Linked DNA regions of Macaca fascicularis. The protein of the gene in region 2 binds, or shares a complex with, the protein of the main gene of each other region. Links are inferred from orthologs where the notes say so. Each region holds a gene or a part of one and is shown on either strand. Other genes may lie near its edges.

Region 1 (3,816 bases), on a different chromosome or scaffold from region 2:
ATATATGCATACATTCAAACATTTCACACATGGAAGTCTAAAAGAATGCTTTTGAAATTCTGAATTATCTTATGATGATTTGATTATACAAGAACAGAACATGTAAATACTATCTGTACTCTGTAAACACAGGAAAAAAGGTGTTTTTATGGTACCCAAATAGTCATTTGTTTTAATATAAGAAAAAAAAGTCCTAATAATGAGAATTGAAAACAACAAAACAGGCTATAGCAAAAAGTAACAAAGATGTTTAAACATGAAGACTAGATGACGATTTTTCTGAGTTCTAGTGATGGGAAGTCCAATGACTGAATGACCTGACTCCTCCTTTTCCCTTCCTTAGAGTTTTAAGAACTGTTAAATCTATTCCGCAATAAATTTCAGCATGGATCTTTATATAACTGCAATTTTCAAGTTTATGAAAACTTACTTAAAAAGTTCCGCGATATAATATAGAACCAAGAATACAACATCCATTTTCTCCCTCCCCTCCTCTTTTTAAACTCAAATACTAATCTTTTAAAACACTTATTATTATTTAGAGATGGGGTCTCGCTATGTTGCCCAGGTTGGTCTCAAACTCCTGGCCTCAAGTGATTCTCCTGCCTTGACCTCCCAAAGTGCTGGAAGTATGAGTCACTGTGCCTGGCCTTAAATATCTTATAAGATGGGGGCATAATTATTTTTTATATATTTTGTGTATATGGAATAGGGTATTTTTCCTACAAACTTATTATGTAAAAAAGTTTATTATGCCAAAAATGTCAGTACTTAAGCCTTACTTCTTTATCTATATATAGAAGAAAGAAGTAACATATATATAAATTGAGACGAAGTCTTGCTCTATCACCTAGGCTGCAAGGCAGTGATGCAATTATAGCTCACTGCAGCCTCAAGCTCCTGGGCTTAAGTGATCCTCTTGCCTCATCCTTCCAAGTAGCTGAGACTACAGGTGCAGGCCACCGTGCCTAGCTAATTTTTTTTTTAAGTTTTGTAGAGATAGGGTCTATTAGCCTGTTGCCCAGGCTAGTCTTGAACTCCTGGGCTCAAGTGATCCTCCCACCTTGGCCTCCCAAAGTGCTCGGATTACAGGCAAGAGCCACTGTGCACAGCCTTACTTCAATATTTAAAATAAGAAATTACTAAGAGTTTTCTTACACAGATGAACATTTCATGATGTTCATAAAGATAATTGAAGAGTACTCAGCTATCAGAGCAAAAGTTAAAGATGCAAATATTTAGCTGCTGAAAAGCTTATCAGTTGGTAATTCATATTCATTTTAATTTCTAAATTAGGTTCTCTCTTCTTTATTACCTGATATCTGACAGTTGCAATTGATGAGACAGTTCATCTTTTAAACGATCTAGTTCTTTTCTAAGTGGCAAACTGTTCTTTAGCTTTTTAACAGCACTTTTCCCATTGTTATCTAACCAGGATCTAGAAGGAAAAGAGAGAGAGGGAGATATATATATGTATATATATATATATATATATACACACAGACTCTTTATAATACTAACCATAATATAAGTATTTCTACTATTAAAAGACACATGTATGCACTTGCATATTCACAATAGCAAAGACTTGGAATCAACCTAATCAATAGATTGGATAAAGAAAATGTGGTATATATATACGATGGAATACTATGCAGCCATAAAAAAGAATGAGTTCTTGTATTTCATGGGAACATGGATGAAGCCGGAGGCTATCATCCTTAGCAAACTAACACAGGAACAGAAAACCAAATACTGCATGTTCTCACTTATAAACAGGAGCTAAATGATGAGACCACATGGACACAAAGACGGGAACAACAGACACTGGGGCCCACTTGAAGGTAGAGGATAGAAGAGAGGATCAGTAAAAACAACTATAGGGTACTAGGCTTAGTACCTAGGTAACAAAATGAACTGTACAACAAACCCCTGTGGTGAGAGTTTATTTATATAACAAACCTACACATTAAAAAAAAGAACCTAAAAGTTAAAAAAAATTGTACTAAAAAAAAAAAGGACACATACATTATCTTAAAGCAGCCCCAGTGTTAAACCGAGTTTTCAATCAAACCTTTACTTCTACCTATTCTTTTTCAGAAATACCTACTTTTAAAATAAGTTGCTTGGAGAACTGCCAACACCTGTCAAATCATATTCTATGCAACTTCCTTTGCATATTAAAAAATTAAATTTTAATTATATCAAACCTGTCACTAGATTTCTAGATATAATTTTTTTTAATTAAAAATACTTCAAAGTGTGTTTATTACAACCTTCAGTAAGCTATACTAGATCTTCACTGATGTCAGTCATACACATATGGGAGGGTAGAACTAATTATGGAATAAGTGACCAAATATTATAATAGAGCTAAAAAGGTGTAAAAGTCAAACTCAACAGACATATCTGATGAGACTAGTGACAATTAAGAGGCAATGGGTCCTATGAAGGAATATGAAAAGATTACTTTGTGGATTCTAGCTGGGTGGACTCCAGTTTCTGCCTTTTTAGTCTTGGATACTACTACCCTGAGCTCCCAATGCTTATTCCCTCATCCCTGTAACCTAGTCCCTCTGACTGGTCAGACCTTACCAATCTAGTCATTTTGCCACACCCTCCTTCCAGGAGGGCCTCTTCACTACCCTGGTGCTCAGTGACACCTCCATTCCTTTCCACCCAACCAAATGTCCAGTTTCAGTCTCGTCTCAACTATATCAACTCTATAATAAGCTCAGCAGAAAGATGTTCTCTAAACCTGTATTTCTTAGAATGTTTACCTCAATAGTCTTACAAGAACTAAATATCAAAAATGCTTTGGCCGGGTGTGGTGGCTCAAGTCTGTGATCCCAGAACTTTGGGAGGCTGAGGTGGGCGGATCATGAGGTCAGGAGTTCGAGACCAGCCTGGCCAACGTGCTGAAACCCCATATCTACTAAAAAATACAAAAAATTAGCCGGGCGTGTTGGTGTGCACCTGTAATCCCAGCTACTTAGGAGGCTGAGGCAGAAGAATCGCTTGAACCGGGAGGCGGAGGTTGCAGTGAGCTGAGATCACGCCACTGCACTCCAGAGCTTGGGTGACAGAGTGAGACTCTGTCCAAAAATTAAAAAAAAAAAAAAAAAAATCTTTAAGGATTAGAAGATAGCTTTCAGCAAACAGCTGAAAGCCTGTGTGGCCTTCTAGAGAGCAGCACCACCTCTGTAGAAACCGTCTCTCACTTGGTGCTATAATCATGACACAAGGGTGCTTGTTAGTGCTCAGGGTCACTGGCTACCCAAGGGAAGTCCAGAGAAATGAGTGACCTGGATGGAGTCCTGGGAGGCTGACAAGCTGCTGCAGGAGTGGGTGGTGAGGGGGCAGGGACAGAATGGTAGTGACTCTGGGCTGAGGGGAACATTTCAGATTCCAAAACAAAGTGGTGGGGAGTGGGCCCTAGGCATTACTATGCAAGAGAAAACTCCAGGAAAACCAGAGGTTCCCTTTCTTCTTCTTATTTTTTTGTACAGACTAGGTCTCACTTTGGTGCCCAGGCTGGCCCCAAACTTCTGTGCTCAAGGGATTCTCCTGCCTCAGCCCGCCAAAATGCTAGGATTATAGGCATGAGCCACCATTTTTTCTTAAAAAAATTTTTTTTAATTGGCTGTGCTAATCTTCTCTGTATTGTTCCAATTTTTTTGAGATGGGGTCTAACTATGTTGCCCAGGCTGGAATAGATTGGTGTGATCATGGCTCACCGCAGTCTCGACCTCCTGGGCTCAAGTGATCCTCTAGCCTTAGCCTCTCTAGTAGCTGGGGCTATAAGCATGTGCTACC
Region 2 (3,816 bases):
CGTCCTCAGTTCACGCCACAGCTGGGGACCACCCTAGAAACCTCTGCCAGCCATGGCTAGATCCGACTCCAGGATCCTCTATAGATTCTAAGGCTCAGGCTCAAGATGAAGCTATCCTAGTCTCAAATACAGGAGCCTGTGCCTTGCTGGGTGACGGGGTTGCCAGCACACTAGGAAGCCACACAAGGCCCAGTCCCTACCCTAGTAGGTGACACTGGTGGGGAGGGTTGTGGCCAGAGCTGACCCCTCCCCAAGGACAGCCCTCGGGGGCTACCTTTCCTCCTCCTGCTCCCCCTGGCCTCCTGGAAGTCAGCAGAGCCTGGGCAGTGTGTGGCCTGTGGGGCAGCCAAGCACTGGAGGGGGACGACAGCCTAACTCCTATGAGAGCAGAGGGAGGGGTGGCGGCACAGCGAGGAAGGCGGTGGTGTGGGCAGCGCTGAGGCACTATTCTTTAGTTGAGAAGCAAGGGGCAGTCATGGGTGTGGAGAGGGCAATGGCCCAAGCAACCCTAGGCAGCATCTATGAGAAGTTCTTAAAGACGTCCAGGTCGAAGGCCGTGTCCAGGAGGCGCTGCAGCTCCGTCAGGTGGGTCTTCTTGTTGCCAGTGGCTGGAGCAGCTGCTGGGTCCCGGCCGGCATACCTGAGAGATGGAGGGATGGGGCAGTGAGGGCAGCGGCCACTGAGTGGGCCCAGCCCATCCCTCTGCTGCATGTGCCTGGCTAACCGCCTACTGGCCTGAGAGGAGGGTCCCACAGCCTTCCTGGCGGGGACTGAGCCTTACCAGACGGGCTTGGCGCGGCTGATGGTGGTCCGAAGTCTTGGCTTCACGTAGTCATAGTAGCCTTGGTTCTTGTGCTCCTCCTGGCACCAGGCCAGCTCAGCATTGGGGTACTTCTGCACCTCCTTCAGCAGGAGGTCAAAGGGGAATGGCGACAGCTAGGAGACAGCAGGGGTCAGATCAAAAAGGGGAAACTCAGAGGGCAGGCATGATCCAGCAAAGGGAAACTGGTGTTCCGAGCAGGGAAGGTCAGGAACCTGAGGGCCACACCCCAGGCAAGGCTGTTCTGTGAAGGCACCAGAGCCCTGACCCCTACATGGGGGACACCCTGATGGCACCACCCGCCCTCACCTGCTCGATCCTTGTGATGGCCACCTGCCCCACCATGTCGCGTGCTTTGCGCTCTCGGGTGAGGTCATAGTACACTTTGCCGGTGCAGAAAAGAAGCCTTTTGACATTCTCTGGGTTCTGAGCTGCAGGGCCATCTTCTGGGATCACCCGCTGGAAGTGGGTTCCTACAAGAGAGTTCCCATGGCTGGGCTGGTTCTCTCAGGGATGTGGCTGAGAGCTCTCCTGGGCCTGATCTCACTTCTGCTGTGTGAGCAGAGGGCTCCTGGAGCCAGGGCTCCATGGACTGCTGCCAGGACACACAGCTTTCAAGGGTTAGAGATGCTTCCCCTTCACCAGCCTCTGATGCCCTATATTTGCTCAGACCAGGCGCACTTTGAAAAGCACATGATATGTAAGAAATACACAGCAGACATGGCCAGCTCTGGCTATCAAGTAACACCAGGCTAGCCTTCAAAACAGCTTCGCTCAGACTTCAGGGACAAAAGTATATTAAAACATCCCAGCTGGGTGCAGTGGCTCATGTCTACAATCCTACACTTTGGGAAGCTGAGGCTGGCAGATTGCCTGAGTTTAGAAGTTCGAGACCAGCCTGGGCAACATGGTGAAACCCCGCCTCTACTAAAAAAATACAAAAAATTAGCCTGGCGTGGCGGCGTGTGCCTGTGGTCCCAGCTACTGGGGAGGCTGAGGTGGAAGAATCGGTTGGGTCCAGGAGGCAGAGGTTGCAGTGAGCCAAGATTATGCACTACAGCTTGGGCAACAGAGCAAGACTCCATCTCCAAAAAAAAGAAAAAAAAAAAAATCCCATGTTTATTCCATTTCTGCTGCTCAGGATTTTACAAATATAAAAAACTTTCAACACAATCAGAGAAAATATTCAGATAGAGAACAGTGTGTTGGCCAGGTGTGGTGGCTCAGGCCACCACAGCACTTTGGGAGGCTGAGGCAGGAGGATCCCTTGAGCTCAGGAGTTTGGGACCAGCCTGGGCAACATGGTGATATTCTGTCCCTACAAAAGTACAAAAATTAGCCAGGCACGGTGGTGCACACCTTGTGTTCCCAGCTACTTGGGAGGCTTTGGTGGGAGAATCACTCTAGCCTGGGAGGCAGAGGTTACAGTGATCCGTGATCACTCCTCTGCACTCCAACCTGGGTGACAGGGTGAGAATCCATCTCAAAAAAAAAAAAAAAAAAAAAAAAAAGTGGGTTGAATGGTACAAATACACAGAAGGAATAAAGTCAACGTCTGATAAAGGAGTAAGGTTAACAAACATGTATTGTACTCGAGTGATGGACACCCTAATACCCTGACCTAAGCACTGCACATCATATACACGTAACCAAAACCAGTTGTGTTTCTATACACGAACAATGAACAATAAGAAAAGGAAATTAGGCCAACAATTCCATTTATGATACAAAAAAATCAAAGGCTGGGCACAGTGGCTCAAACAGGTAATCCCAGTACTCTGGGAGGCTGAAGTAGGAGGATCACTTGAGCCCAGGAATTGAGGCTGCAGTGAGCTATGAATGCATCACTGCACTCCAGCCTGGGTGACAGAGTGAGACTCTGTCTCAAAAAAACACAAAAAATAAAAATCACAACAAAAAAATTAGCTCAAAGTGGGTCAAAGATCTAAACATAAGAGCAAAAACTATAAAACTCAGAAGAAAACATAGGGCAAAAGTTTCGCAACACTGAATTGGTAATGATTTCTTAGATATGACACCAAAGTCACAGGCACCTGAAGAAAAAATAGACAAATCTGACTCCATGAAAATTAAAAACTTTTGTACATCAGAAGATACTAACAACAGGCCAGGTGTGGTGGCTCATGCCTGTAATCCCAGCACTTTGGGAGGCCGAGGTGGGCAGATCACCTGAGGTCAGGAGTTTAAGACCAGCCTGGCCAACATGGTGGAACCCTGTCTATACTAAAAATACAAAAATTAGCTAGGCATGCTGGTGTGCGCCTGTAATCCCAGCTACTCATGAGGCTGAGGCAGGAGAATCACTTGAACCCAGGAGGCAGAGGTTGCAGCGAGCTGAGATTGCGCCAATGCACTCCAGCCTGGGTAACAGTAAGACTCCACCTCGATGAAAAAAAAAACAAACCCAAACCCCAAGATACTAACAACATAATAAAAGAGCAACCATAGAATGGGAGAAAATATTTGCAAATTATATTTCTGATAAGGAATTAATATCTAGAATATACAGAGAACTCTTAAGAGTCAAAAACAAGCAACCAGATTAAAAAATGGGCAAATGATTTGAATAGGCTGGGTGCCGTGGCTCATGCCTGTAATCTGAATACTTTGAGGCCAAAGTAGGATTCCTTGAGCCCAGGAGTTCAAGACTAGCTTGGGCAACACAGTGAGACCCTGTCTCTTAAAAAAAAAAAAAAGGATTTTAATAGACAGTTCTCCAAGGAAGACATACAAATGGCCAATACGCATATGAAAAGATGCTCAACATCACTTAATCATTAGACAAATGTAAATCAAAACCCAATGATGAAATATCATCTCACACCCATTAAGATGGCTACTATGAAAAAAACCAGAAAGTAGTAGGTGCTGATGAGGATGCAGAGATGGTGGGATCCTCATATACTGTTGGTGGGATGTAAAATGCAGCCACTGTGGAAAGTTTGGCAGTTCCTCAAAAAACTAAAAATAGAATT

Evidence for each region.
Region 1: the proteins of OGDH (region 2) and TCAIM are in contact, whole or in part, in a cryo-EM structure (PDB 8I0K), measured with the Homo sapiens proteins. The link is inferred for Macaca fascicularis from reciprocal best matches to the Homo sapiens genes OGDH and TCAIM. Residues at the interface, in NP_001425937.1 of Homo sapiens: Gly301, Tyr304, Arg323, Tyr354, Arg356, Ile358, Arg364, Asn365, Lys387, Glu391, Tyr394, Cys395, Gly396, Thr398, Glu399, Lys401, Lys402, Lys561, Met602, Pro605, Glu667, Gly668, Ile669, Asn709, Met734, Ala735, Ser736, Pro737, Asn738, Gln772; in NP_001269842.1 of Homo sapiens: Glu214, Gln234, Arg235, Ser236, Trp237, Gly238, His241, Ser244, His247, Ser248, Arg251, Gln255, Asp272, Arg273, Thr286, Met287, Asp288, Val289, His290, His291, Glu331, Leu332, Gln333, Pro334, Val335, Arg375, Tyr376, Glu441, Ser443, His473.

The regions. Positions count from the first base shown.
Region 1 is NC_088376.1:107,207,723-107,211,538, reverse strand, and holds part of TCAIM (T-cell activation inhibitor, mitochondrial), read right to left. Parts: intron 1,439-3,816; coding exon 1,316-1,438; intron 1-1,315. UniProt on the Homo sapiens protein: May regulate T-cell apoptosis.
Region 2 is NC_088377.1:85,642,148-85,645,963, forward strand, and holds part of OGDH (2-oxoglutarate dehydrogenase complex component E1), read right to left. Parts: intron 1,294-3,816; coding exon 1,130-1,293; intron 937-1,129; coding exon 782-936; intron 641-781; coding exon 520-640; 3' UTR 1-519. UniProt on the Homo sapiens protein: 2-oxoglutarate dehydrogenase (E1o) component of the 2-oxoglutarate dehydrogenase complex (OGDHC). Participates in the first step, rate limiting for the overall conversion of 2-oxoglutarate to succinyl-CoA and CO(2) catalyzed by the whole OGDHC.